Tribolium castaneum: one gene and its partners. The protein of the gene in region 3 purifies or fractionates together with the protein of the main gene of each other region. This does not show direct contact. Links are inferred from orthologs where the notes say so. Each region holds a gene or a part of one and is shown on either strand. Other genes may lie near its edges. The genes, in order: sin3 histone deacetylase corepressor complex component SDS3, inhibitor of growth protein 1, SIN3-HDAC complex-associated factor and Sin3A.

The links.
Region 1: the proteins of SIN3-HDAC complex-associated factor (region 3) and sin3 histone deacetylase corepressor complex component SDS3 purify together in Homo sapiens (affinity purification with mass spectrometry; 3 studies listed by BioGRID and IntAct, counting the BioPlex papers as one, with this or other methods). This does not show direct contact. The link is inferred for Tribolium castaneum from reciprocal best matches to the Homo sapiens genes SINHCAF and SUDS3.
Region 2: the proteins of SIN3-HDAC complex-associated factor (region 3) and inhibitor of growth protein 1 purify together in Homo sapiens (affinity purification with mass spectrometry; 3 studies listed by BioGRID and IntAct, counting the BioPlex papers as one, with this or other methods). This does not show direct contact. The link is inferred for Tribolium castaneum from reciprocal best matches to the Homo sapiens genes SINHCAF and ING2.
Region 4: the proteins of SIN3-HDAC complex-associated factor (region 3) and Sin3A purify together in Homo sapiens (affinity purification with mass spectrometry; 4 studies listed by BioGRID and IntAct, counting the BioPlex papers as one, with this or other methods). This does not show direct contact. The link is inferred for Tribolium castaneum from reciprocal best matches to the Homo sapiens genes SINHCAF and SIN3A.

What each region holds. Positions count from the first base shown.
Region 1 is NC_087395.1:74,634-82,216, reverse strand, and holds sin3 histone deacetylase corepressor complex component SDS3, read right to left. Parts: upstream 3,671-7,583; 5' UTR 3,460-3,670; coding exon 3,339-3,459; intron 3,281-3,338; coding exon 2,717-3,280; intron 2,662-2,716; coding exon 2,453-2,661; intron 2,396-2,452; coding exon 2,303-2,395; 3' UTR 2,166-2,302; downstream 1-2,165. Other genes in the region: phosphatase and actin regulator 4-B, read left to right, coding at 426-441.
Region 2 is NC_087402.1:344,755-351,926, reverse strand, and holds inhibitor of growth protein 1, read right to left. Parts: upstream 3,844-7,172; 5' UTR 3,722-3,843; coding exon 3,586-3,721; intron 3,536-3,585; coding exon 3,326-3,535; intron 3,277-3,325; coding exon 2,726-3,276; 3' UTR 2,634-2,725; downstream 1-2,633. Other genes in the region: RASSF8 (ras association domain-containing protein 8), read left to right, coding at 680-751, 804-914, 966-1,400, 1,450-1,566, 1,613-1,927, 1,972-2,199. UniProt on the Homo sapiens protein: Seems to be involved in p53/TP53 activation and p53/TP53-dependent apoptotic pathways, probably by enhancing acetylation of p53/TP53. Component of a mSin3A-like corepressor complex, which is probably involved in deacetylation of nucleosomal histones.
Region 3 is NC_087394.1:37,251,300-37,259,454, forward strand, and holds the start of SIN3-HDAC complex-associated factor, read left to right. Parts: upstream 1-2,939; 5' UTR 2,940-3,096; intron 3,097-5,967; exon of another isoform or gene 5,968-6,107; intron 6,108-6,893; 5' UTR 6,894-6,931; coding exon 6,932-7,005; intron 7,006-7,063; coding exon 7,064-7,217; intron 7,218-7,331; coding exon 7,332-7,669; intron 7,670-7,724; coding exon 7,725-8,013; 3' UTR 8,014-8,155. Other genes in the region: Mbs (protein phosphatase 1 regulatory subunit 12B), read left to right, coding at 26-124; ras-related protein Rab-21, read right to left, coding at 1,728-1,956, 2,037-2,323, 2,374-2,508. UniProt on the Homo sapiens protein: Subunit of the Sin3 deacetylase complex (Sin3/HDAC), this subunit is important for the repression of genes encoding components of the TGF-beta signaling pathway.
Region 4 is NC_087396.1:24,659,788-24,667,871, reverse strand, and holds the start of Sin3A (paired amphipathic helix protein Sin3b), read left to right. Parts: upstream 1-3,419; 5' UTR 3,420-4,006; intron 4,007-4,086; 5' UTR 4,087-4,222; intron 4,223-6,473; 5' UTR 6,474-6,493; coding exon 6,494-7,564; intron 7,565-8,084. Other genes in the region: STE20-related kinase adapter protein alpha, read right to left, coding at 67-282, 336-515, 563-744, 797-1,029, 1,077-1,247; sel (protein seele), read right to left, coding at 1,603-1,734, 1,787-2,109, 2,167-2,251. UniProt on the Homo sapiens protein: Acts as a transcriptional repressor. Corepressor for REST. Interacts with MXI1 to repress MYC responsive genes and antagonize MYC oncogenic activities. Also interacts with MXD1-MAX heterodimers to repress transcription by tethering SIN3A to DNA.

The DNA of each region.
Region 1 (7,583 bases), on a different chromosome or scaffold from region 3:
AAATTAGTTGTGTAAAAGTCCTGCTTTTTTAAGATTCTTCGTTTTGGTGTAATAATAATAAATTAAATAAAGTGTGTTTTCGTTTAAAAACATCAAATTATTTCACAAACTAAGCAGAATAGATCTAAGGCGTAAAAAAGATCGACCCTTAAACCGCTTCACTGATGTCTCAGGAATGAGTAATTGACCAATAAAAATAGAAAAATTACGTCGTTCATGTTGTTTGTTTTTGTCACAATATATTTTTTCTTGAAAACTAAATGCAAAAATTCGTTTAATCAACAAAAAAAAACAATTTTACTCAGTTCTAACAATTCTTGTTTTTTTTTTCTCACTGATTATATAGGAATTAATTTAGTGCGCTTTCCTCCATAGTTGCTCATATGCTTTTATGCAATAATTGTTTATGATTGTTTTGTTTTTAGGTTTCATAGGCCTTGACAATTCCAGAGTTTGTTAAAACAAAAACAAAAAACTGTGATGGACGTAGCCGTAGAAATTAACGTTCCCGTATTCGCTTATTAATTGAGTCAGATTGTGTTAAATCTGGCTGAGTTTGTGTAGGACATTGCACAGGATTATAACTGTATAATTGTTTTGTACATACGTGATTTTTAATACACAAAGTTTTTATGGATAATTATTATAAATAATATGTGTACATTTTTTGTTTGAAGCACTTGATCAAGTTGTAAATATTTTGTGTAATTATAGTGCAGGTTTTAATTTAAAATTCAAGTTGCATTACAGTGTGTATAACTACTGTAGGTGTATTTGTTAATGTAGAAATTTTGTTTGAGTTACTGTCTAACACTAAACATTGACTTAGAGACTTTATTTTATCCCATACGACACGATTTATTTCGTTTGGAAAAATTATTTTTATTGGATATAAATAAGTAGCCAATCAAAGTTGTAAAATTAGAAATCTTGTATAAGGACCTTGTGCAAAAGAGGAACCGTTGGTCTAGCTTGTAACATAGTTTCCTTCGCTTCTAAAGGCAATATGCTCTATGTATACTGTAAGAAATTGTATTCATACTCAATCAATTTATACTGGTTTTAATAACAAGAAATGTCTTCCAAATAGACAAGACATTAAAAAACACGCCTTTTATTTCTTCTGACTGTCCTATCATTACATCCATCCTTGAAAAAAAAAACGTAATTCGGTGGCCTTGAAAAAATGTTTAGAATAAATACGTAAATTAATTTATTTGTTTACATTTACGAATAATGTACACAAAGTGCGGTTGAGTATTATTAAGTTTTGAAGATGCTGATAACAGGATGTCATGTGTACCTGTTTAACAAGTTTTTCTAATCAGATGTAGATAAATTTTCGTACTTGAAATGAAATACAACTAACTAATAACGCAATAATGAAGTTCAAACCAAACGGCCACATTTTACGAATTGCTTTAACTATATTCAGTGTTTTATTTGGAGTAAGTATACGTAGTTCTGTTTACAAAATTAATACTGTTTTATAGATTTTGAGTATAACTCTTATAACAATGGGAGCCATCTATTTTGACGAATTATGGTGGCCTAGAAGATACATTGGTTTAGATTTTGTTGAGCTGCCCACTTTATTGATAATTTTAGGCTCATTATGCTTAGCTATGGCTGTTGCTGGATGTATATTTGCTAAAACCGACAATAAAACTATACTTTTAACAGTAAGTATAGTAAGTGATGTTATTAATTGTGTACATTTTTTTATTTTAAGTTCGCTGGTGTTCTATTAACAATTTTGTGTATCGTATTAGCCATAGGTATAATTAGCTTTATTAATATTGAAAAGCATGAAAGTGGTCACAGTAAGAGGCACCGACTAATATCAGGAGATAAAAGGGAGATTTTCCTTACTTCATTTTAAATAAGTTTTAGTCCTAATGTCTGTATTTATGTTAATACAAAGAATGAAGAATCATACATTTTGTGTTTCAATTGACTATTTGGAAAACAACTTTAGTGCTATTTGGTTTGGATACAAAATTTTAAAGCTCTAGCTATATTAGAAGTTGAGAAGTTTCTAATGTGGGCCCTAGAAGAATCAACCGTATAATTACAGAAAAAGCAATGAAAATTTTTGTATTTAATTTTATTTCTCGCTGGTATGTACTTTTTGTTTAAAAATATAAATGACTAAAACACACAGAACATATCAATTATTTATTGTTTACAAACTACAGCTCACATGAAATTCCTAGTAGTAATTAAAAAAATGCTAAATATTTTCCACTTAAATTCTGCAGCAAACGTGATATTTTCTCGATAGTACTATTTACATAATTATTTAGGACGCTCTTCTTTTAACTGATATTTTGCCCCGAGCCAAACTTGATAAGTAGATTTTAACTTTACTACCATCAGATCTCTTCACCCATATCTGAAACAAAAAAAAAAATAAAACAATAAAAAAATTAAAATATTTTTTCAACTTTACCATGTCATTGCCTATTGCAGAAATATTAGCAGGAAATTTTGGCAAATCCCTTCCTTCAACAAAAACACTCTGACCTCGATGAAACCAGCGTTTTTCATAGAGAAGTTTTCCGTCTTCAATTCTCGTCTCAATTAACGGTAAATCATTAAGACCTGGCGAAACAGCCAAAGGACTTTGAAGATTGCCAGGACATAGTGAAATGTTATCATCTAAAGTAAAAATAATCAGTTATTATTTGGAAAAAAATTAATAAGTAAAACGAACCAATACTTGGTTTCCTTACAGGCGCCAGCACTTTCCCCCTATTGATGATTTTCAGGTCATTTTCAATATCTTTCTCATCCAAAAGATAAGTGATTTGTGCTGTAGGCGCTTTTCGCCGTTTTTCAGGCACAGGAATTGGATCGTTTGGTCTACGACGCAATTTCCTTGTCATTACTGGCTTAACTTCCATGGAGTCTCCAGTCAGTTCAATCGAATAACGTTCTGCTTCAATTGTTCTTTTTTTATCTTCCAAATCTGAGATTAAATTCTCTCGCAAATCAATCTTTTTGTCTTCAAAATCTTTAGCTGCAGCTTTTTTTTCAGCAATATATTCACGCTCCACACATTCAATTCGATAGTCTCGGTACAAAATATTCACTCTTATCCGCTCCCTGTATTGACTTTCAAGTTTCTTCACTTTTCTGTTGTAGTCGTGATGACTGCCATCACTCAGCTGCTGGAGTTTCTTTTTAAGACTCGCTAATTTGTCTTGATACATTTGCTCTTTAATTTCGAGGGGCTCTTCATGACGGCCAGTGTCTGTTTCACTGGCATCTTCAGTATCTAAAAATTAAAACATTTGTGATTTTTTTGCCAAATTTTGGTAGATTATATCAAAAACCTTCATCACTGTCGTCATGAGGATCTTCGTTTTCACGATCATCTTCATCGTCAAAATTATCATCTTCATATTCGTAGTCTTGGTTGTACGAATTCGAGTAAGGAGATCCCAAATATGACATACTTTGAGTTTTACAAAGTATTTAATAAGGAACTTGCTCAGTGTTTTCTTAAATATGCAAGGTTTGTAAACAATTACAATGAGGTTATGTTACTCAACTCAACTGTCAAATGCTGTCAAACAAATTTATATGCGCGCGCATGGCTTTTTTGAAATTGTTTTTTTTCTCAACAATACATTCCAGAGAGCGTTTAATTTTCTTAAAGACCAAACACTTTTGTTGGACATTAGAGATTTTTACTTTGTTATGTTGGGCAAAATTGTCAATAGGTCTTTCTTTGTCACTGTTACCCTTGACGACACAATTTTGGTTTTGGAGAGACTTCAAAGAAAAAAACGACAAGCTATAGACTCGATACAAAGATGTGAAATGACATTTAAATCATCTCTTTACTGATCAGGAAACATTATTTTGCTCAAAAAGTTTGAGAAATGTCTGAAATCACACTTTTGAAAAATTTGCCAAGAGTGCTTTGACTTCGCTGCTTTTGACAGTTGTCACCGCGCGAGATTGTCACAGTCGGTGTTGTTGTTGTTGTTATCTCTCAGAAAATCAAACGAAACTAGTGATTAGTCGTGCTGGTTGGTTCAAAAGAAATGGGACACATGTTTTGTGAAATGTTTGTGAAATTTGAAAGTTCGGGCGCGCGTGGGCTGTGATTTGGCGCGGTGGTTATGGAGATAACTCGGGGAAAAACCGGCTCAAAAGACTGTTTTACACACATTTTTCAATTTGAGAAAGGTAGGTTCAAAACCCATTCGAACGTTAATTTTAGATATTTGCACCGAATTATGACGTGATTGTGACGTCATCGTCAGTTATTGTTATTAGACGGGCGTTTAAAATACAATTCTTCCAAACTTTCTGATTGGGAAGAGTGGAGTGGTGAATTGTAAAGTGTTGTTTGAGACTTAATAGTCCCGTAAACTAAAATTTGGCGAAAAAATCTCGAAATTAATGTTGGTTGTCAAATTTGATCGATGGGCGAGTTCTACAGCTTTGCTTAGCAAGGGTACAACAATGGCTCTGCGAATCCACTAGTTTAATTTTAATTTAATGATTTTTTTTGGGTGTATACTGTTGATTTCTTACATTAAAGAGTATGTGATGGTGAATAAATACTAGCTTTCGTTTTGTACAGGGTGCTGCATTTTGGTCAATCCAAATTCTACAGCAAGAGTTGATCTAAAGACTTTTTGAACTAGCACTTGTTTACAGAGAATTTAATGTTACTAGAGTTTTTATTTAATCATTTCAACAAATTTTTGATTTTTCTCAATATTTAAAAAACTAAAAACTTTCTTTCAGATAATAAGCGACCTCGTATTTTTATAATAGTTGAGATCTTCATGGTGGAGCTTAAAAAACGGACACCTGTATAGTTTAGTAATTTTTTAGCAAGTAATTATTTATTGGTTATCGGTTTATCTTAGTATGGTGTTTACATTTGTCCGATAACTTTATCTATCACAGGATTAAATTCGGAAAAATATACATACAATAGTACCTATTGTTGTAGCAATAAATTGTAACTCTACTATTATTAGTTACTTTGGATTGGGATTGTAAATTAAAGCCTTATTGACTGATTCTAAATCTTTAGGTCTTGATTCACGTAATCACATTTTCGGATATAAAGTAGTGACTATAATAATAAATATAAGTAATCAAACTAGAATAAATAATTATAATAAATGAAAAAATAGCAAATTTCAAACTTGTTTTTGTTCCGCACATTCCAAAAGAAAGAGATATTTCAAATTTGTCTTCACTTGGTATACTTTGTGCAACAAAAACTAATACAGGATGACCTAGGGATACGTAATCGGCCAATAACTTTTTTATTATTTGAAATATTTGCCATGCCATAACCAAAGTTATATTTTTTTAAGGAACACCTTATATATTTTTGCATAATTGGATTCTACGCAAAAAATAAAGTAACGTTATATAAACTATTATGGGTCGACAAGTATCTCTTTTCGTTTCGAAATTACTCAACTTTTCGTTATAGAAAAACTCAATTTTTAAAAAATATTTTTTTTTTGAAAAATCTCAAAAAATATTTTAAATTTGCTATGCAAACCCCACAGCGTTAGAAAGCTATCAAAAATGCTATCGATACATGAAAAAAAATATATGGTGTTCCATTTGAAAAAAAAATGAGTTATTCATCTTTTGGCGTTTTGGTACACTGTGTACATTATTTCCGTGTTTCAAGTAAAAGTCGATTATTTTCTAAAACTACAAGGTAATCTGAAATTTTGTGTTGCAAATTTGCCGGAAAATATTGACAGGCGACTTCACAGTGATTTTTCAAAAATTGTTCTATTTTATTACCAAAAGTTGCAATCATTCCGAAACGAAAAAAGATAGACCCATAATAGTTTATATAGAAACACATTACTTTTTGCGTAGAAACCAAATAATGCAAAAATATATAAGGTGATTTAAAATAATATAACATAGGTTCATCACCTATACAACAACCTGTGTACAATAAAATATTTTTAATTTGTGGACATTAAGTCGATCTATCGGATAAATAATGAAAACAGCATGGTAATAATATTTCAAATAGTGAAAAAGTTATAAACCGATTACACACCCCTAGGTCACCCTGTATATAGTACCTAAAATTGATAGATGTGTAACAAAAGTTTTTATTACCAGATTTTGACTAGGTTTAAATAAAACGCAGACTTTACCAAGTTGATATGATAGAAAAAAAAACGTAAACTTTTGTTGTACATGATTATTGATTTTGATTTATTATTTGATAAAACTAGCACTTGTGTAATCAATATAATGTACATGAAATACTAGGACTAATTTTGCAAGAGTTGCAATAAGTAATTAAGTAATAAATATGATTTATTATCTCAGGTGATTAGAACGTATTAAATATAATGGGAGAATCCGGGAGTCGGGACGCTCGCTCTGCTATACTTGTTACGCAAGCGTATCGCACAGGAAGTATTCCCGGGAAACGGTAGCTTCGCTCATCGGGAATTGTGGAAGCGCATTGTGGTGGTGTAATGGTGCTATCTTGTGATCTCAAATTTGACAGTATTGGAAAGTGTGATTAAAAATTCTAAATTCAGTATTTTAGATTTAAGGAAAAGCGACAATCATAAAGTGTTAGATTTTTTCGCTATGGGTTTCTCTTTTTGTAGTAACCAGGACTAAAAGCTGAGGGAAAAGGTAAGCGACCAGTTTGTTGCGTACCTGTTGCTTGCGCCAGTCTCTATCTACTTTGGATGGCCAGGTCACGAATGTGGTCGTAGTTAGGTACCTGCTAGTAATAAATGATAACAAGCAATAAGAACGTTTAATAAATAAAAAAATACCAAACAGCAATTTTAAAGTTAGTTCATAAACTATTATACCTATCGTAAAATTTTTCCTAACAAAACAAATATGTCGAGTGATCATAAATATACAAAATTAGATTTTCTAGCATCCGATTTTGCATCCTTAATTTTTCTTCTTCAAGTTATTGTCAAGGATAATCGTATATTTATTAAAGTGATCACAAGATCTATTTAAAAGTTTATAAAAAGTACAGTACAGTAATTTTATTCTTTGTTTATTCAATGATTGTCACCAATGGATTTTTTTTAATTTGAGGTATGTTGCCATTTGGAGTTAATTTATAGTTTTTCCAGGGATGAATTGGACTTTTTTAAAAATTACCAACAAATAATTCCAAAAAATGTCAAAAGAAAATATGATTGAATTATGTATGCGTGACCTTGATAATTATTATACATTCATGCGAACATACAATCTTTATTTGTTATTTTTGCTAATTTTAGGTTTTCAAGCATATTACAGAGTCAAATCAGTTGCACGGAGAGCTGACTGAAAATATCGTATGTTTTAATAAGTGGCTGTTTTTTTTTTAAATTATTTCTTGAATGCTTGAATCCGGTTTTGCAAATCAACTACGTCGGTAGCCTCAAAAAAAAGCTCCAAAAAGTTATTTTAAAAGGTTTTCAAATGACGTTATTTTTGTCTAAAACATTGTCCTATCCCAAAATGCTATATACAGGGCTTTCATTTCAAAAGGAGCCAGTCTCAATAACTTTTGACGTTGTGCAAATTTATTTTCAAGCAACAAC
Region 2 (7,172 bases), on a different chromosome or scaffold from region 3:
AATCAACACCAAAGCCCACGATTATTACGAGACTTTTCTTTCAATTTAAAACAAGTTGGCGGGTTTGATCAAATTAGGGATTTTTGGTCTTAGTGGTATGAAAAAATAATCAATAATCATAAATTTTCAGTCAAAGGTGAGAAATTCCACCTTTTTGACTGAAAAATCGGTGAAAAACCCGCAACTTAATAGTCTGTTAGGATTTTTCGTATTTGAGTTATCTTTTGGTTACGTTTCGATGACAATATTTCAAGAAGTTTACCGCTCAATAGACAAAAATGTGAGAAAATTGCAACTTACGCACATACTTTCCCCACTTTATCGGCACTAAACACTTGGAAAAGTCTAAAAATTGGCACAAAAAGACACAACTATTACGCGACTTTTCTTTCACTTTGAATCAAGTTGGCGGGTTTGGTGCTTTTGACCCGTTGGGTTGGTGGCAAGTGACAAGAGTAAAAAATATTTGACGTTTATAAATAAAAATAAATTGCACATTTTTGCCCCAAAACATGTAAAAAAATGCAAATTTTGAATAAACGTCGCTTTAATTTAGTTACGTAAACTCGGGGTTTGTTACCACCGTGCTTCGATTGATCAAAATGCCAAAACCTGGAATTAGGTGAGTGCGATAATTGTGTGAGGATAATTGTGAATAAAATAGTTTTTGTAGTGCAATATGGAGTTAAAAGTTTGGGTCGAGGGAATCCAACGGATAGTGTGTGGGGTGACTGAGACGACAACGTGTCAGGTACCCCCTGACGCCCCCCATTTGATAATTTCTCACACTTGTCAAATTGCAGGATGTAGTGTTTGCTTTAGCTCACGCCACGGGTAAGTCAGGCCGATTCACACTTATCGAACGGTGGAGGAACAACGAACGACAGTTGGCCCCCAATGAAAACCCCCTCAAGGTTTGTAAACCCACCCCCCAAAAAAAATTAAAAAAAATAATAAACACGCAGATTTTGATGAAATGGGGTGAGTACTCAAACGACGTCCAATTCATCCTCCAATGGAGCGAAAGCAAACCCATGACACCAACAACCAAACCAAAAACATCATCATCATCAGCTAATATCATAGTGGAATCACCACAAAAACACACCGAGAAGTCACAAGTAGGCGTTGTGAAAGGTGTACCGCATGTAAAAACACTACAAGTGCGCGAATCTCAAAATTCACCCAAAAAATCCGAATCTCCTAGTCATAGAATCCACCCACCGGCACCGCCCCCTTACCGCGATCCGCCGCCCCCCAAAAAAAATATCCTACAAGAGTCAAACAAAACACACAAATTACAGGAGTCTGTACTCTACAATGCCCAGTATAGGGAATTAATCGCGCTTATTAATTACCAGAGGGAGAAATTGTCCAATCAGCAAGCAGACCTAACAAAGGTGCCACAATTAATTTAATTAATTCTTATTAGAAATTATTTTTTTGTAGTTTGATGCCGAAATTGTGTTTTGGGAGAGTAAAGAACGGGAAAAACAAATGCAATTAGAATACATTTCGCAGGAAATTCTCGCAATGACTAATGCTACGAAATTAAATCAAGACCAGGTTTGTTTCAAATAATAAATTTTCAATAATAAAAAATTGTCCCTAGATTCAGGCATTGCATTACATTGAGGAAGAATGCGAAATAGTGAAACAGCAAGAGAAAACGCTCAAATCCGAAATAACTCTCTTGAGATCAAAGCTTGCAAATTGCGAAACTGAACTTTTGCAGTGCAAAAATAAAATTCGTTTAGTAATGGACGAGTTACAAATCGAACAAAGAGCTTTATCGCGTCGTTCTGAATCACGCAAACAAATGGAAAAAAGTCTCCTAGTCGAAATGGAGCGGTTACAGAGAGATATCGAGTTGGCAAAACAGAGCACTGAATTGCATCACCTGACTGCCGAAACGCTCAAAAAAGAAGTGAGTGGTTTTATCCCTCTGTTTGATAATTTATTGTTTTTTAGGTTGCCGCACTTGAGACGGCAATAATCGAAAAGAAAAAACAAGTGGAATTGCTTGTGACTGAAATGAAAGAGGCGAATTTACAAAGTTTGACTATAGCGCCACCTGAGGATTTACGAGCGATTTTGGAAGGTCCTAATAAGGGAAGTACCCGAAAAATGATTGGTTCGCCTCGACAATTGGAAAATGCTGTACCAACCAATAAAAACCCGCATGGAGTTTGGGTCTAATAAAATTGTAGTCATTTTGTTTAGCTTACCTCAGTCTAGGCGTGTTTGATTTTCAAGTCTGATAGTTTGTATTGACGCCATTTTAAATTATAAAAAGTGTTATTTATTGTTAGGTGATTGGATGATTTTTTACTTACACATTTTTGTTACTTTATTTTATTTTACACTGCCATATTGTGTGTAGTTGCATCACACAGGATTATGATAAAGAAATGATGTTAGATATATTTATTATTTTAAAATATTAAAATTATATTTAATTGCTATGTCGGAAATGTAAAATACACACAAAAATATTAAATTGCGTTTTTCTTCTTCTTTTTTCCCTTTAATTTAGAAATTGCAAGTTGGCGGGTTTGGAGGATTTAGGAATTTTTGGTTTTCTTTTATCAGGATTTTTCGAGGTTCCTGGTTAGGTTAACATTACCAGACACTGAGATGTTAGACATATTTATTATTTTAAAACATTCTATGAAATTATATTTAATTGCTATGTAAGAACTGTAAAATGCACACACCAATAAACTTATGTTTTCTCCTCTTTATCCTTATTATACTTTTCGAGTTCTCTTAAAAATTGCGCCTTGGGTTTCATAACATTGGGTCTATCACCTCTACACTTTGGACAATACCATTTACCTTTCGGTTTGGTGGTTAAAGTAACGCAAGAAAAGTGGAACCACTCGATTGGACACAAATCATTGTCGCACATAATCATTTCACCGTAAGAAATTTGATCACAGAGACAATAAGTGGGCTCATCGGGATCAATAATCGGCTCTTCCTCCCTTGGCGGAGATTCCTCTCTCTGTGCTTGCACTTGCTTCGATTTGCGCTTCTTCTTCTTCCCAGTCCCACTCTTCTTCGTCGAGTTGGCCGTGGACGGCACCTGGCTCCTCAAAACGTGCTCCACTGGGGCTGAATCATTATGATTCGACTCCAAGCCTGAGAAAGTGTCATGACGGGTGCGCCGCGCCCTCTTTGGAGGCCTCTCGACCAAACCCGCACTACTGCTGTTGTTATTAGGGGGCTGTTGCTCCTTGTTTTCGAGTTGAGTCGTCTCGTCTTTACCAAAATCTAGCAATCGCGTTTGACATGGTGTAAATTAAAAAAATACGAAAAGTACCTAAATTTTTGAAGTCCTGGTCCAACAAGCGCGTCTTGATCTCAATCTTGTCCAGAATTGACTGCAAGAGGTTCATTTTCTCGTCGCCCAGTTCCTGGGCTGCGATCAGGGCTTGCTGCATGCGGGCGAAGCCCCGGGCCTTTTTGGCGGGGTTATCGTTACCGATTTTTTTCCAGTTCTCGGTCTGGTATGCGGCTTCACGCACGCGGGCTGAAAGGGCGGCTTGAGGCCGGTTTTTGGATGAAAATAGCAAAGTTTACCCAAGTAACAGACGTCGAGTTCTCGCATCCTGGAGATTAGGCGTTGGAGTTCATCGGGGAGGTTCTCAACGCAATCCAAATAGTTCTCTACGTACGTGGCGGAATAAACGGCCTCGACGGACACTTGGTTCAACATGATTTTCAACGGGGAAAGTTACAAAAAGGTTAAAGGTTTACTTCAGCTTCACATATTTCAAACATAAGCCACCATTTTTGACATCAATCGCTGTTTACCGATTTTCACGGAGAAAAAAACCCCAGGACGGATACGCGCCAAACTCAATTTTTTACACGACCATTTTGTCTAAGGCCTAACTGCACCGGTTCTGCTTAATAAATAATCAAAAAAACTAAATTCTTGCCAAATTTCGTCTTTGATCTCCTAAAAAAATCACTAAATTTGTGTAATAATAAAAAAATTATCACAAATTTAACTTTTTTTTTGCACAAAAACTACTAAATTCAGCTCACCACTGCATTATTTTCAAGGTTTCAGTGCATTTTTCAGTCTGAAACTCACTTATTTTGCAAAATTCAAAATAAAAAATTATCGAATTGGGCCGCAAAAGACAATTTTTTCCATTTTCAAAGAGTTTCAGCACTTTTTCGTTAAGGAGCAAGAAAAAATTATGTTACTCTGTTATTAATTATTACCATCAACCACTTGCGGGAATCAAATGTACCACAAAAATTAATTTATATTAACTAAAGTTTAATGTTCTCTTGCATAAAATATTGATGCACAAATGCTCATACAAAGTATGAGTTTTAATAATAGGAGTTTTATTGGAACTAAAATGATTTTTATCTCCCAAGTTTTAACATGCATGTGAATAAAAAGTTAAACATGCAAAAAAGTGAGCATTCCATGTTTTAAATTTAAAAATAATGTTCCTAAACTTTAGGTCCGTTCAGTAAATATAAATTAAAAAAATGTAATTTTGGGGCTACACTCAACACCCCAGTTGTTGGCAAATAAATAGAAGAAAATAAATTTAAAAAAACAAGCATGGTCAATGTCTGCGAGATATTAGAGCTAAACCCGGCGCCTCCGCCATAAAGACACGACGAATAATTTCCAATTTCCGTCGAAATTTTCGCAACTTGTCAGTATTCCGGACAGAAGAATGTCTCTAGTAACCTTAAAAATGTCGACACAAGGCGGACGTTTCAAATAAATCAGGCTCAAGTCATAAAGAAAAATCCTTTTGTAGGAAACGTCCGATTTAATCTTTTGTGGCTTTATTGAACTTAATGAAAAGTTGCAATTAATTTCTTAAGTTTGAAACGTGACGCTTGAGCTAATTCCAGTCGGTCAGCGAAATCTGAAGTCGTAATAGCTGGTTTGCGCTAAATAAATCAAAATATTGTAACAATATAATTATGGAGGAAACGTGGGAGCAGCCAATGGTGGTGGCCCAACCCCCTCCAACACATGTAGGCGCCTTGGAAGGATAAAGAGTTTCAGCAACATCCTGAAACGCCTGTTGATCTGCAACCAGTTGTGTTAGAGGCCCAAGGAATTTTAGCAACTTGTAAGTTTCATGTTTTCGATGTTTGACCAAAAATCAATTGCCATTCGTGAAGTGAAGAATAATTAGGCGAAAAACGTGGGGAAAATAACTTGAAGAAAACGCGACAGCGTCATAAATCTTAAGTCTTTAGCAGCTTGTTTTACTTTAATTTAGTTCCCATAGAAAAATGATCGATTAAAATTAATTGAAATCCTTTGAGTGACTGTTGAATGAATTTTCTAAACAGCGTTTATTGTTACACTGTTTGAAGTTTACTCAAAATTGACCGAAAAAACCCGGAATTTAATTACTCTTTTGTTAAACTTGAATTTAAAAATAACAAAAACATAAATATGTAATGTTTAAAGACTCGTTTGCATTTTTATTAAAAAACTTCAGTAAAATATGCTGAAAATATTTTTTGTTTTCATTAAAACCATTTTTCGTGACTAATTGTGTTGACACGATTTTTATATGCAATACAAACATTACGTTTTCAAATAAAAAAACTATTTCCGAAAACAGATCATTATTTATTTGTAACAGAATGCTCCCCAGTGCAGTCTCTCATTATGCAACAAAACACAAAGGTGATCAAATAAATAGCGCAATTTTCTCCGTAAAATAATTGCCGATTAATAAAAATAACTATTTTTTGCTCGAAATTTTATTCAGTATTTGCGAAGCCTCAAGTGTTATTTGTTCACCAAAAGAGAATAATTTCTTGGTTAAAATAAATACACACTCATGTGCTTTGTTGACTTTCAAACGTGAAATTGAATTCATTAATAAAACCAACGGTTTGAATCATTGAAACGCACAAAAAACACATTCCTCATAATTTGCCTTTGGGGCAAACCCAACTGTTCATTCGTTCAAATTAGATTAAAACCTAATCTTGGAATTATGAGGGAAGTTGGAGGAGCAATAAAACACACCATTGCACTGTTATATTATTTTAACAAAAAAGACTTTCGGGCAAATAATCCAAAATGCTGCGAATGATTTTAATAAAAAGGAAGGCCAGATTTACAACTGCCACAACAAAACGGGTGATTACAACAATCACACTTTCCCTGATTGCGAAAATGAAGCGAACAGCGGTCTCGATGAAGTCACGAACCCAATTTTCAATATGTATAACAGTTCCCAGTGCATCAACTTCGAGCAAATAAACGATTTTTTCGTTCAAACTGTAGTAAAAATGATCTAAATAATCGATAAACTGGCAGAGGAGAGGCTTGGTGGCCCTCTCAACCCTTGTGTTTGTCTCTTGAAAGAAAATTAAACACGAATTTGAAACTATTCAAGACTTACCATCACCATGACAAGTTACAAGGAGGGCCAATGCTAGGAAAATGGCAATTTTCATCATTTTATCAGTTCAGTGTTTTAGTATTTGGACCGTATTTATATGCAAATGTTATCAGTGTACTTACGGGCACTAAAATTTAATATAAGGACGGAACAATTATGATAAAAGTTTTACGTTTCTTTGGCTTTAACTGACCGTCAGTGTCACTCATAATTACAACAGGTGTTAGGCGAAATTTAATTAAACTGACAAGATTATAAATTATTAAATACTTGCGTCATTTTCATGTAAATCAGTGTTTCCCGAAAATAATCAAAATTTTTAATTAAGTACTTGGTTTTGAGTGCTTTTCAGCAAGTTTGAATGGTGTTTCTAAATACTAATTGAAACGCATAATGTTTGAAAATTTTTATTTCTACGACATTAAATTGGCAGCAAAAAACTTGAGATAATTACGTGTAAATTTTACTTGAGACAATTACAATTATTTTGTAAAAAAAGCCTAAAAAACCGAATAAAAAAATTATTAAATTATTTCGAAAATCGAAAAGTTTTTGAATGAATTACAAAATTTATAGTTTTAATCTTGTGTGTCGCAAAAGGTAATAATTTTATGTAAAAAAAGCATTTTTATTTATTTAGATCGTGGTTGTTAAACCAGCGAGTTTCGCTCAAGTGTTCATCTTACGTTACATGTCGCCTCAATATTTCAGGCATGAATTCATGAAACTTTCAGCACATGCAACTCAACACTATTT
Region 3 (8,155 bases):
GGTACACGTTGTATTATTGTTTTAGCAATTGCAAAAATTGAAAGCCGAGAATGAACGTTTAAAGGCTGACAACAGGTCTCTCACTCGTGTCATCACCAAACTTACCAACTCTCCAAAAAAATAGGTAAAACTCGTTAAAACGCCATGCAGCTGATTTCGCCCATTTTTTTTAATGAAATTGTTTCCTGTTGTTCATTTTGTTTTATTATTGTACACTTGTTTTGTGTTCAGATGTTGGATGATGGTAGAACGCATATTTACACACCTAATAACAAAAAAAGTTTTTCTTTTTTTAAATTGCTAACATACTAACATATTCTCTCACATTTCCAATTTTGTGCAGTGTTTTTTGTTTGAATGTTTGAGCTTTTTTTCACGGACCGATATTGACACACGGCTTAATTATTCGTACGTGAGCATGTGTTTAACTTACTACAGTCGATTGGCTGTTGCTAATTTGCGTATTGATTTTTTCAGCAGTTGGATATTATGAAGGTAGAAAATCAAAAGCTAAAGGACGAGAATGGAGCGCTTATTAGAGTGATTAGTAAGTTATCGAAATAGCATAAGCCTTAGAAGTTTTAATTTTCCTATTGCATTTTACTCTGATTACTAGAACTTCGTAGTCCGAAGTCGTTTCCTTCCTTTTTTTGTTGTAATCAAGTATTATTGTTATTTTTTATTTATTGAAAATTGTACGAAACGAATGACCACATTCAAGTAATGTCTGCTTCAAATCGGTGAATTTGAGGCAAATTTTACATTTTGACATAATAAGGCATTTGTGTTGGATTGCTTGTAGTTTGCTGGTTGTGTGATATTATTTGCTTTTTATTTATTTTGACATTGTAGGAAAAGACATGTATTAAACACTTCATTTTTACCTACTAAACGAACATGTCAATTTAAAGTATATTTTTTGTAAAACATATAAACATGTTGTATTATATAAATGTATTTAAATGTACTGTACTTTGTGAATAACTTATTATTAACAATTGTTGTGATTTTAATGTTACAAAAAATATATAAATTATTTGTTTTTTCTTGATATTTGTTTTATAATGCTTGCATTTGATCAAATATAAGCATTATAAAAGTTTGTTTTCCTTAGGTAATGTACAAAATCGATTTTTAACGAAAAGTTTAAATTGTTAGAATCTAGTCCAAAGATGAAAAACTTGCGACAAATTTTGTTGAGCACTTTTCACTTGTTAGATGTTTTTAACTTTGAAATTATGCCATAAGGTGCTAAATATCACTAAGTTCAAATCAAAACTTTACATATGAATTTTGTCTGTGACCATAATAATAAAAATTGGACTGATGAATGTTTTGTTTCATTAGCGAAATTACATTTGTACATACAGTTTGTTAATTTCTAGCGTTTTAACGTTTTATTTCATTGAACTTGTGCCTTGCTTCTCTTTGTATTTATTATATAAATTTTTAGTTAGTGTGTAAATTATTTCATGTATTTATTCCTTGTTTAGAGGCTGGTAGAATATCATGTGAATAGTGATTTTATAGCTGATTCTTTAATAAAATCCTGATACGAATTGTGAGTTTTTCTTGGGACTGGTAGGTAAGTATGAAAAAATTCTGTACATATTTGGGTTTATTCTTATAAAGCATTATTTGGAGGAAGCTCCAAATTACAACCTTGACTCTCTCGTTACATTTTTTGACTTAAAACGAAATTATATACAAAAAATAACAACACAAATTTACGAATTGCTACAACATTGTCTTGTGGGTGGTGGAGGAACTTGATCATCGTCAACAACAACAACATTGCGACGTTGCGAATTCTGTCTAGACAAGGGCGCATTTTGCGCTTCTTTCTCTTCAACAGTCTCTAACATTTTCTGCGTCAGAACGAGAAACATCTCCTCAACGCCTTTATTCAATTTTGCCGACGTTTGAAAATGTATCGCTCCCACTTTAATCGCATAGCTGCAAAAAAAATAATTAAAAGTTATTTGAACACAAGCAGCGTAGTGATGAGAGAGTGAAAAACCTAAAGTGTAACTCACGCTTCGGCTTCTTCCAAGCTAACGTTTCGGTTCTTCTCAAGATCAGTCTTATTTCCAGCAATCACTAGACATATATCAGCCCCCAACATCTTCCGCAATTCCTTCACCCAACTTTTGACTTTCTGAAACGAATCTTCATCAGTGATATCGTACACCAACACTGCACCGTTTGACGATCTGTAATAAATAGGGCCTAAGGCGTGGAACTTCTCCTGACCTGCAGTGTCCCAAATCGCCAAATTTATGCGTTTGCCGTCAATATTTAGTTTTTTGTTGAGAAACGAAGCCTGAAAAAAAGTGTGTAAAAGTGAAAATTTAACTTGATTAAACACCGTACCTGGACCGTTGTTACATGATTCGTGTTGAATTTATCCTCCACATACCTAAGTACCAAGCTGGTTTTCCCCACACAACCCTCCCCCAACAAGACAACCTTAAAGTTGTGGGAAGCCCCGCTGGTGTTGTTGGCCATAGTCAACGAATTTCACTGACTCATTAAATACAATTACGCACAAATGATTTATTAGACTTTTCCCCACAATCAACAATTATTTTCGATTACATTTTCACAATCAGCTGATTGTTCTTTATGTAGGCGTGACTTTGCGTACCTGTCGCAATTAGTTTAGGAAAACGCCGCTAGGGGGGTTTCAAAATTTTTTCAATTTTCGGCCAAAACCACATTTTTTCAGGACTTGGTTAATTGCAAATGGTTATTTTTTGACAAAATTTTCGGTCCACAATAACACCGCGAAGAATCAAATCGATTTAAGACGTGTAAACAAGTCGGTTGTAAAAGGAAACGTCAGCTCAAACTTGACGTAACACCGGAAGTCGTACTCAAATCAACAACTGTTTTTGCGTTTCTCAGGCAAAAAACGTGACTTGTGCCCAGAATTCAGGCATGTTTCAGGTTGCGATAAATTAGGTGTGAATTGTGGGATGCGTATTTTAGGGAATTAGGCTAAAATTGTTTGAAATTCGCCCCGAAAGCTTTAGGCTGCGCCTTGAGATGCGCAGTGGCTCATCTGTGTTTCTAGCCGTCATCTGTGTTGTATTGGTAAGTAGACAATCAATTTTTTGCGTTAAATTTCTCAAAAACTACGTGAAAATATTGAATGATTCTCTCTCCTGAGTGTTAGTTTAGGTCGTGTCAATGATTGGGAACGAGTGTCATTGGGAATTATCACGTAGTTCATTTAAAATTCGCTTTTTTTCGTTGGCGTCACATCGGTGGTAGAGAGCGTTTGTTCAAAAGCACAGCTCCAAGTATTGTAATCAGGTCAAATAATTGGATGTCTTTGGGCGATTTTTGCACCAAATCAGTCGAAAACGTGCAATTGTCGCCCAAATTTTGGTTTTGTTGGATTATTTCGACGGGCGATATTAGTCGGGACGTTTGGCACGTAGGCCGCTTTCTCTTATGCACGTGTTGAAGTGTTCCAGTTTCGGGATTGCATCGAGATGTTTTCGATTTAAAAGGCATTATGTAATGGAAAAACTGGAGGAAAATCGGTGTGGTCGTGACACCATTTCTCGAAGGAAAAATAGAAAGTTGTGGGCAAAACACTAGCACAAAAATTGATTATTTTTGAAAATTGAAGCGTCACGTCAGTGGAATTATTACTATTTGTTTGCTAATTTGGGCCCCAGTGTGTTAACCCTTTGTCTCACACTGATCATATATGAATGAATGGGTTACGCCCACGGGAAATTCCATAACTTTGTGTCTGTTTTGTGTGATTTGGGCCTTTAATTTTTCGATAGTTTTTCCCCCCATGGGCCGAAAATGCACGATCTGGTCTCCGACCGGCTTCTTTACACCACGCGTTGTTCCATCATGGCCGGCGTCAACGCTCCACATAATTTTCATCGTGAAATTGTATGAAATGTTACCGAAATTTCAGTTATTTTTGTGTTTTTATCACGAAATTTGTTATAGCATTGAGAAAAAAATCGAAATTTCGTTCTTTAATCGACTCGGAATTGATCAAAAAGTTACCCCCCGCCGTGTTTTAAAACTAAGTATGTGGTAATTAATGTTTTTCCGTTTGTAACTGGTTGTAGGATGTAGTAAACATTTTATTGTTGTTAAAAGTAAATAAATGAAAATTATTGATTCTGGTTTAAGTGTTATCAATGTTTTTGTTGCAATTGGGGTTTTTTCACTGTTTGCGGAAATTGTGATTAATTTTTGTCATCATTTTTATCAACAAATTGAAGATGCAATTATTTATAATGTTGTTCTACTAATAATAGTAGCTCAATCGAATCGCTTAATGGAAACAAAAAATCAACTTCCAACTCTTAAATTATGTAATATATGATCATTAACGAAAAGAAAACTAAATTTTAACATAAAATAAAGTTAAGAGAGAATAAGTTGTGTTGTGAAATGGTTTATTTATTAAACCAAATTTAAATACATTCATGGGTAAAAAAATCTGCAGATTTATTTCAGTTTAAACAGTAAGTTTAGAACTGAGATCTCCATGATGGAGCTTGAAAAACGGACATTATATGGTCTAGAAAGTTTAGAAAATTAAGGAGAAAAATACCAGAGAAATATCAGTTTATAAATTCATTAAGCTTGCAACAAAAAAATAGAGGATTATGGGAAACGGAAGGCTAAAGAACTGTACAGAAATCAGAAAAAAACAATAATTTGCTGTTTTTCAAAGCTAAAACAACCGTCATTTTTTAAACATGTATACTTATTTATTTGTGACCTATTTGTCCTCAAAAGTGTCGTTTTGCCATTTTAAAAAATACTGATAAAATTGTGAAGAAATTTTCCTCTCCGACTTGTTGCAAGTCGAGCAACTAGTTTCAATCAGGAAAAATGGCTTAATTAAAATTATGCAAAATAGATGAGCTTGTTTATTTTTGTAAGTGGGTTGTTGGACGTAGCGTTCTTATTTCTTGTTCAATAAGTTCATGATGTTTATATATTAATAGAAAATGGTGTCAGAATCAAGCTTTTTTTTGGTGGATTTATGTCAATAATTGTGATTACAGTCATTACAAAACGAATGATAATTTTGACTCGTGTCTTGATCGATCCGTGTTGTAGGTGAATGCCCTTTAAAGTTTGTCGACTTTTTAGTCGCGACAACGATGCTGTTTACGATTGCACAAAGTAAATGATGCTTCAAAACTCGTCGAAATCACGGTCGTCTTGTATCTATTTTAATCCTCTGGTTTATTATATGGTCCTGTTTTGCATTGATGGCGCCTTCACCCAACGGCCTACTACCACTGTCCGCGACCTTTATCGTTTTATTTGTCTCGAGATGCACTTTTTGGGGTTATTTTTAGCAAATCGTAGGTCATGTTTTCGTAGAGAACTTATCGGTGTTTACACAGAGATAAAAGAATCGGTTTCTTTGCCGCGATGTAAACACCAGTTCTATAATTAGCTCGAATGATTGATAGCAGTTTTGTGAAACGAAATTTCATTTTTTTTATTTTAATTCAGAAATAGTTTTACTACGATTACAATCCTTGTTATAACCAAAAAAAAAAATAAATAAAAAAATGCGGGAAAACATTTATGGTGTCACAGCTTGATAAGTCTTATCTAGTCTTACAAATTGTGAACATTAGATAATTGATGTAATTGTAGGAAGTGCATTATTAGACGACTTGAAGAACTGCAAGTTATTTTTATTTTATTAAAAGTATTAATCAGTAATGAAACGTTGATATAATACAATTTGCATTCCGTCTATAAATAGCAGGAATAAATTGTTGAGTGTTGAAATACCTGACTATTACGAAATGTAAAGTACGCCTCGGTGCATTATGTTTACGTCGTAAAACAAAATATCAAAACGTTGACATAATTTCGATACGTTTTGTAATTACACCGTATCGCCGAATGCATTTTATGAATAAGTAATTTATCTCACGATAAATGTACAAGACATTGGTGTATTTATAGACAAATCTGTTTACATTCATTTGCTCGAATAGATAAACTTTGCTCGGTATGACAACAACAATACCACAAAAACAATCTTTTGCATATTGTAGAAATGAAACGTCGTGGTGCAACGTACAAATCAGCAGGTAAACGAAAATTTCGTTAATTTTTTTTCTGTTGAGGATTTTAAAGGTCACTTGTGTATGAGAGTTGTAAATTAAAAATTGCAAATGCAAGGCCGGTTCGACCTTCCTTTTATTATCTCATTCAATGTCACATGTTTGAAAGGCTTGATTTGGGCCCTTTTTACTCCCAATCAACAACAGGTGTGACGTTTTCTGTTGGATATTTTTAACTTGACACACTTAATATACGATTATGTTACTAGGGGGATAATTTTTTGGTTCATTACCGGTAATTAGTGCATTTATTTGTTTAAATGTTTGGAATTTATTAGAAAGTGGGAAATATTCCATTAAAGTTAGTTTCGTTCGAAAAGCCGCCTTAGGATGGATGTAGATTATTCTAATGTTCATTGGTCGTTGACCTGTTTATACATTTTTATTTGAGGGTTCATTGTAATCTCAAGGTTGTATGATCTTGGTTCGTTGTGTTGCAACGACACATTTATGAAAATTAATAAAATCCTTCTTTTGGGACAAACTAAATTAAAGAAAGAAAAAAATATATTTTTAAGAGATTTTTTGATGTAAATTGTTAAGGCTTGAAATAGTAACATGCTGGCTTGGTTCTGCTCTACTTGAGCTAGACAGTGAAACAAAAAATCTTAATTAAATCCGTTTAATTCAAAACGAGAAAGAGAAATTGCATTGTTGTCTGGTGTTTTTGAGATGAGACAGCAATTTTATTAGGAAAAGAAAAAATAAAAAAATGAAATGAAACCTTTTACAAGTTGTTTGTATTTTTTTCAGATTTTTATTAGTCTAGGCGCTACACCCCCTGCCCCATCATGTTTTCCTTCCATAGACCTAAGGTGTATAGATCGTCAACAGGATGCTGTATTTGTAAGGCAAAATCAAGCAGGTTAGTGTCAAATTCCTGTCAAAAATTAAACAATTTCAATGATTTTTCTCCCTTCCAGTTCCAGATTTACGGACAGTAAAAAATACGAAGAAGACTTTATGAAATGCTTCAAATTGGCTGAACCCCGTCAAGGTGAAATTTGCAATGCTTGTGTCCTTTTGGTAAAACGATGGAAAAAACTCCCAGCCGGCTCTGATCGCAATTGGAAACATGTAAGTTTCCAAAAAAAAATTTGTTTACGCAACCGTGTGTCATTTGTTTTTTGTTGTAAAAAAAAACTTACGATGCTTTCACAAACTAAAATGCAATTATGGTATCGAAATCAGGTGGTGGATGCGCGTGCCGGTCCCGGAATGAAGTCCATGTCGAAATTCAAAAGTAAGAATAAGAAAATCGATGAGAATTGCGATAAAATCAAGAAGAAGAAGCATTTCGAACGCGAGTACAGTCCGTTGTCGGATAACGAAGATGTGGATATGACTGAAGTTGATTTTTTGTGCGAGGATGGCCCCAGTGGGGGCTCCAGTCGTACGGCGAGTCCTAGAGATAGTGACAGTGAGGAAAATGTGGTGAAAAATAGGAGGCATAAAGGACAAGCGAAGAGAAGGGATGGAAGTAGTCTTCCGGATCTGAGCGATTTTATCTGTCCGGAGTATTGGAAAAGGTGGGTGTTTTATTTATTATTATTTTAGATAATAATTGGTGAGTTTATTGTGCAGAGAGGCGATTTGTTGCGGGACAATCTTTAGAGGAATGTGTGGAGAAATAATCGTTGATAATCGATTTTTGAAAGCTTGTTCGGCACGTTTAAGGTGTAAGTTGGCAAGTCAACATGAAGAAGTTAAAACCGAACCGGAGGTTGGAGTCACTACGAAAATGTTTAGTGATAGTAGTTCGGATTCAGGTTATGATGAGTCGTCAAATCAAGGCACAATAAGTGGAGATAGTGCCTTTAAAAAAGAACAAGTTAGTATAGAGGAGTTAAACAGTCAGATCAAAAACAATTAATGTATGCTCTCTTTAGATTGTTTTAATTTATTGATACATAATGATCGTTGTGTTTGTAAAGATTTATGCCTTTCTTGCAGATTCGTTCTCGTTTTTTTTACCAGTTGATATTTTTTTCTTTATAGTAGTTGTACTTAATTTG
Region 4 (8,084 bases), on a different chromosome or scaffold from region 3:
GTGCGGACGAATTTCGTAATAAGCGTCTTTTAATCAAGCGCCTGCTCCCGGACTAATTACAGTTACCTGTATTAACAGCTACGCGACTACTAAGCGGCATAACAGGCTTAAGTAAATCAGGCAAAAAGATTCCTTTCTTTATTAATTTAAAGATAGGGTGTGTGAGGAGTTGACTAGCGGTGGGACGGATAATTGCCTCCTTTTGTAGACAAAGAGTTGCGAGTTCGTGTAGATCCTCTGAAAATCGTCTACTGACCACATTATTACTTATATCACAATCACCTGCGTAAAAATAGTAAATTACAACCAATTATACTAAAAATTTCAAAACCAACCATGAACTTCGTTATTTTCATCTGTAGGTACAGTAGTACAGTCCAACAGTTGTGGCACACAGCCTCTCACTTTTTCCGTCAACATTAATGTCGTTGAGACTCCAGCGTATGGTTCTGCACCGTTTGCCAACTCACAAATTAACATACCCACACTATAAATGTCTGATTTTTGATTATAGCCTTGAACAAATTTAATTAAAACAAAACTATCAAATAAAATAAAATACCCTGCAAATTTTGTTCCAAAAGTTCGGGACTTAGCCAGTTTAGGTTCCTCACAGTGCTTGCTGGAAACGAGTGAATTTGCCTTTGCCATTTTCCATTTAAAACAATCGGACAGGCGTATCGTAAGCCAGCAAGAGACGCTTTCCCTGTCGCAGAAATTAAAATGTGACCAGCTCTGACTGACCTTGAATAATTTGGCTCAATACTCGTTCACCTAAAGCAACAAATTAAGCAACCTGTGAATAAACCCCCTCTTGTGTATGTAATCCAACGCATCAAGGACATCCTTTAAAATTAAAATAATAGCGTGTTCAGGCAGTCCTTCGTTAAAATGTGTATTTAAAAGATCGCGACATGAGCCAAAAGCCATCAAAGGGCTCACAACACACACTTCATGCAAATGCACAAAGGCCACAAAGTACTTAATAATGTTTGGGTGCTGGAACTGTTTCGTCAAAATGATTTCTCTCTAAAACAGATCAGTCATGCAGTAGCACTTCAGGGATGGTTTCACACCTCGACCAAGTGCGCTTCGTGTTTAATTCGGTCCATATTAAAGCGTTTTATGGTGACCATGGTGCCCGAAATTTTGTGTTTTGCCAAGTTGACCACTGCCATTCCTTCGAAACATTGGCCCAGAGTTGATATTGTCTCGTAAGCTGATATGTTTGCCTCATAATTAACCATTTTAGCGCTATTTTTTAGTCACACTATAAACAATTTTTTGTGACATATTTAAATTTGAAATGACCTAACCTAAAACTTGACCATTCTGACGTTTGGTCCGCAAAAAGGGGCAATCAATCGATGTTTGGCAATAAATTGTAAAACACTCCTATATTTCTTAAAACAGTAATTGAATGTAATGAATAAATAACGTCTTAATTGATAATTCACAAGCTTTAAAACAAAGCAACTTAACCTAGAAAGTGACAGCTGACGTTTTATTTGACATGTGCTAGGTTTCATGAAAAGGCCATTTCATTTTGATTTTTTATTAAAAGAATAAATATGTTAACATGGAAGCCTTAACTAGCATAAATCACAATTCTTCATTAATTTTCTTCCCACAAATGGCCGATTCTTCAACACACACCTTTTTGTCTACGTCCTCTGTTCCACTTTGGAAGTGTTTGATAATATTTTCTTCCATTTCTTCCATAATGCCCTCACACTAAAACGAATAAATCAGTCCAGCCGAATACCTAAAATAACGAGAAACATACGTAATATTTCAAACTTTTGTTTAAATCGTCATCTTGAATTAAATTCACTTCAGACATGTCGTTATTCATTTTCCCATCTTCGGTAATTAATTTCAACAAAGTTAAAGTTCCGTTCGATTTCCACGTCGCCCTTACATAATCGTCCATTTTCGTACAAATATCTTCGATCATTTCGGATAAATGAACCTCAGACTTGGCTTGAGAAACTGATTTGTGTCGATAATTGCCATCAGAGTCCAGTCTATAACCCCCAACGTCGACGGTTTTGGTTGGATCGATTTTATTCACAGCTTTGTGTAATTCGTCTAAACTAACTTTACAAACTGGAAATCATCACTAATTACAAAACACCATTACAACAAAAATCATTCATTCTTTACCTAAACACCTCAACTCTTGAGCATCAATTTTTTGTGCTTTTGTGTTGTAAAAAAAGAGTGTTACTAGAACTAGCGTTATTTTCATCTTATTGTCAGAACAATTTTGCACTTTTTCGGAATAAACTGGCAAGAATAATATTTTCGCGGCTCGCTTTCTTCAAAATAAAACTGGTTGACGTTCATAATTTTCTAATGACACGTTTCTACCTTCTGATTGGCTAAATTGGGCTTATGCTGATAGTGATGGCTGATAGTATTTGCTCCAATGGTATTTCCCGTAATGAAAATTATTTGAACCGAAAATCTTTCACAGTTATAATCCCGTGGTTTTTATAATGTAAAATTAAATCGATAAAATACATAACCAAACGGTCCAATAATACAGTTAGTTTTTGTAAGAATTATCTAATTGGGAATAATAATTGGATTAATTTGGGTTGAATTCTAACTAATTGGATGTTTCTGTTTTTTACGGTAATTTTTTACAAGTTTATCAGAAGTGTATTGGAGCCGTTTTGACTCGGAGCACAAACGTGACCCCATTTTCTTCAATTATTTATTGTCTGTCATAGAATAGAAGCACTGATTGAAGTGGGCAACCCAAAATACAATAAACCAAGTGAATTTATTTTTTTTTCAACTCTTATCTTTCTCAAAAAGCTCAAAAGCTCTTAAATATTAGCATATGGTATTTGTTTCAAGTTTCAGATTGCTACATAATTTTTTAAATGGAATTTATGACCTGTTTTAAATTTCCAATGTTCTCCATGCATCACTGTGTGTGTGTGTGTGTGTGTTTTTTTTTGATGTTTTGAATCCAAAAATGTGATTTTCAACTATTTTTATACACTCACTTCAGTTATTATTATTTTTTTAATTTTTCATTGTGGTTCTTATTGCCGAAGAGAGTGACTAAATTAATAATTAGTAATTAAAATGTGTCTTCTTGAGGTGTGTGTTATGCAGTAATGTTCACTGGATGTATATTCAACATAAAGTGGATTTATGAATTAATTGCATAGACAAGTTTTTTACTTGTTTTCAGATTTTTATTTAATTTTATATTTTTTATTAGCCTCTGCAGCCACGTAATCATTGGCACGAATACTTTTAGAAATTGTTTAGTTGATTAATTTCTTGTAGGTATAATTATTTTTAATAGTAATAAAAATGTTTAGGTGTAGTTTATTAATAATAATTAATAGACACAAAAAGAGTTTGAATCTTGATGTCCGGCTTAATAAGATTAATAACAGTCAGAGGTCAGTTTAAAACTTTTACATCTGCTACACGCTCAACTAATCCGAAAATGGGCACTACATTGTTCTTTGGCGGGTATTTTTAAAAATCGATAACAGCGCCACTGTTCTCTTCACATTGAACTATCAGAGCAAGCATCAAACAAACCTTTTACGGATCAGACAATTGATTCGAGGGGCGGTCGCTAGTATCCGAAACTGAAAAAATCCACAATATGACTAAAGTGTAATTTTTCTGGAATTGGGAGCTCATCCTGTGGCACGTCGTAATGTTTGTGTGTAGGTTTTGTGCATTTTGGTGATCAAAAACTTGAAAAATTTGAAAGTGGGCAAAGCGACCAACCACCCGAAATTGATGGACTCGTCCAAACAAGCTCGGAGATTTGAAGCAGCCAGTCAGTCGACAATCGGTCATCGTTTCGGGTGGTTCGGAACAGAATGTGTCAGAATTTTCTTTTGATGAATTCTAGTGTTTTCCAATTATTTCCCAGTGAAATCAGCGCGGATCGGTTGCAATTGTACGGTGCATCCCCGGCACCAGTCCGCACGGAAGCGCTTTCCGCGAAAGAGGCTTTTGTAAGGTGAGTGACATATTTTTAACTTTTCACATTGACACAAGTGTTGTGTAATTGCAATTCCCAATTCGGCGCCGCTTTTCCAGCATTTCCCATGGTTTTTCCGCGATTTCGGCGTCGGCGTTCCAAAATTAGCCTCCGTCGCGGGGGCCGGCACTCTCCCTCCGTGGAAATTTCGTCGGCCTGGCAACGCTTTTCCGCCGAAAATCTGCCGACCTTTCGGTAATTACGAAATTTCGATGCAACATTTTGTATTTGTTTACTGACAAAGAGTCGCGTCCGATTTTCGGCTTTATGCACTTTCGTGTTTGGGTCGCTTCGGTCGCAGCGCCTCGCACGTCCGGTTCCCTGCCCTTCCACTCGCCTATCGATTCCTTCATTGGCCAATCGCGAGCCTAGCTTGCTAGATCGCGGGAGCGAAGTCGACACGCAACGTTGCCACTGCCACAAATTACTCATGCACAAAGGTGTGGCAACGTTGCCACAACACAAATGCCGAAAAATGGCCACCAGAAACCGACACGTGACGAGATTTTTATGCGGGCTTTCTAAAACTTTGACGCGCGCCTTTTCAAGGTCATCCGTGAAAGTTGATTTACTGTTTGCATAAATGGTTTAGGGTATGGACTATTTATTTGGTTATCTCACGAGTGCCAAAATGATAAGAATTGTTACCCTGAGTTTTGTTTTGTTTTTTTTTCCGGGGAGAAATACCGACGCCATTATTGTCCGGAATGACGCGATAAGTAACTGCGTAGCAGTTCGTATAAACGCTACCGGTTTTGTTTATGCCAGAAATAAATAAGTGGGCGTGTCGTTTTGCGGATCAGCTGAATTGAAAATGTTCAACATGGGATCGAGAAATGTTCCATGAACGTTGTTGCCGATATTGTTGCAAATTTTCCTCGAATCTTATATTAAAACTTTAAAAATATCAGTGGTTTTGACTATGATGGACGAAATGTTGTTGGATTTTGTTTACGTAACATGTTATTTTGAGGTTATGTCGAAATAAAGTCATCATTTTGCTCTCCTAGCTTGTAAAAAACAGTATGGTCAAATTACATTTTTAAAAGCTTTTTTACATGTTTATTTCCACAAATTATTTTTTTGTCAAATACTAGTTTAGATTTTTGTTTTTACGATTTTTAGTAATTCTTGAATAACATTTTCGTGCTGGAATGAACATGTTTATATAAAATTTCAGAGGTAAGACGAGGGAAATAATTTGATAATTATTCAATCTGTAGGACGTGTTTCATAAGAGTAGTCTGTGCGAATTTTATTAAAACTGTAATTATGTGTCACATTGTGCTCTACTTTAATATTATTCATTTATCTACCAAATAAATAGGTAGTAAAATTATTTAAATTAGAGTTTGTCTCTGTTTTTAATTTAGGTATTATTATGTATGTTTTAAATTATAACGTTATAATAATTACTAACGGTGTATATTTATTTATTTGTAAGAAAAAGGTCAGAGATAATTACAAAAACTGATCTGACAGTAATAACATGCAGAAATAATGTTTGTACAGCGGTGGATAGAGGATAAAAATGGCAAATTGTTAAAAATTAATTTACATAATCACAATTATAGGTATTGGAAAATGAAAATTGGTTTTACATGTAATAAAAAATGTAATTTCTATTGGAAACCAATTTATAATGGAATGTTAAATAAAATGCTTACCGGTTATTATCATGGGTTATATATTTTTTGTCTAAAAAACATTGTATTTTTTCACGGAAATACAATATTCATAATATCTTCTGAAATTATTAATTAAACAAAAGGTAGGTAATTGTTAGGAATTCGATTAATGTAATAAAATAGCAGCATATCATGACACGAACACGTTTTTCTTAATCTTATCACAAAAGTGTAATAATATCAACCAGATGTCTCTCAACTCGAAAAGTGAAAAGTTTAATTGCCGTGATTTGTAATTATAAACTAATCAAATGGAAGTCTTCACACGTGTGTTAAAAAATGAAACTTGGTTAAATCACATTTAAAAAAAAACACAAATTTCGAAGAGACGTAAACCGTCACACTTGTTCAAACGAGTTTTAACCCAGCTCTTCAGTCTTTTCATAGAACAAAAATTAACGCCCATTATCAGCGTAATTGATTACGTTATGCGCATTAGCCCCTATCGAGCAATAATAACAGACGTCCCATTATTAAATGATGGCGACGTGTAAACATCTTTCGTATTATTTCACGAAAAACTTTAACATAATATGTAATAAAGGTTTTAAGAAAATACACATGATTTGACTACAGATTTTTTCATCGTCCGTGAGTGCGGTATTTCATTATCTTTCAAAATTCGTGTTTTGGTCGGTAATTCAGACATTTTTTTTTAATTTCGATAAAATTTCGTTAGTTATTGTATTTAAAATGAGTAACATTAAACAAAAATTATTTTCATCCACTTATTAATAGTTTTTTGTGTAAATTTTCAGCCGCCTCGATGTAATTTGAAATGAAACGGCTTCGAGTGGATGAGACGCTGAAAGAAGGAAGTGTGTCTCCAGCGACAGCTGCTCTCTACAGCGTTAATCAGCAGCAGCACCAGCAGCAGCAATCAACGACGACCTCGTCGTCGTCAACATTGTCCTACTCGAGTGCTAGTAACGTAAAAGTGGTCAGTGAAGGAATGCAGTCGGGACTTTATCCGCCGCCTCCGGTGAGTTACGGCGCGATGCCAACGGCGACTGCGCCCCACTCCGGCAAAGCTTCCGCAGCAATGCAACCTTTATCCGTCGGTGGCGGCGGCGGCGGCGGCGGTGGTGGTGGCGGCGGCGGCCATACTCAATTACGCACCAGTGCCGGTTCATCACCACCCACCGCCCCTCCTATCCAAGAAATGCAACAGCAATCTCAACAACAATCACCTGGCAGCAACTTCCAACGTTTAAAAGTCGAAGACGCCCTCTCCTATCTCGACCTGGTCAAATATAAATTCGGTTCCAAGCCTCAAGTGTACAACGACTTTTTGGACATTATGAAAGAGTTTAAGAGTCAAAGTATTGACACCCCAGGTGTTATCCAACGCGTATCAAACTTATTCAAAGGTTTTCCCGATCTGATTGTTGGTTTTAATACGTTTTTACCGCCCGGTTATAAGATTGAAGTACAGAAAAGTGATCAGGGATATGCATTTCAAGTCTCTGTGAGTATGCCAAGTCCGACGGGAAATATGCCCTCTGATCCTCAACAACAGAAGATGATTATGAGGGGTTCCGGAACGATCAACATGTCGAATTCGGCGTCGGTGTTGAACACGCTACCACCATGTCAGCCACTATCGTTGACGCAGCACATACCTACGGTTCAGGCTCAAACGGCCGCACCGGCAATACCACCACCCCCAGTGCCTGTACATCATTCAACGTCAAGTTACGGCACTGGAGCGCCGACCTACAACAACTCGTCGATGACACTGGCGGCGGCGCAAGTCGCCGTGAGTCAAGCGCTGCAAGGACACACGGATACGCCGCAGAATCAGCCGGTGCAATTCAATCATGCCATTAATTACGTTAATAAGATTAAGGTAATTTCGTGTTTTTAAATTTTTTTTCTTTTAAACACTCGTAGCCATTTAGAGATCAAAATTAGGCTAAAGAAAAAAATTCGTTCCAATTATTGGATTTGATAATATTAACGAAACAAAAAAAAAGATGGACTTGTATAATATTACCCCCGTTATCAATTACGTGTTCTACAAAATAATGACATTATATCTGTTTTCTTTAATTTGAATTAATAACTAAAAAAGTATTAATAATTTTGATGCTTGTTTTTTATCCGATTTAATTTGATTTGATTTTAATCCAAACATTAACCCAGGAGGCTTTAATTGCCTACGATCAACAGAGTGAGATAATTTTTATTGCCTTCTTGTGTTACACATTAAAAAAACGCATAGTCGTAACCCAAAAAATATTCACTTTCAATTCTTTCACTGTTATTAAACAATAATAAACAAAAATTAAAAATGAGTTTTGTAGAAATCAAATCATCAATTGTTTCTTCATAATTTACTGCTTGTTGCTTAACTGATAAATTGATAA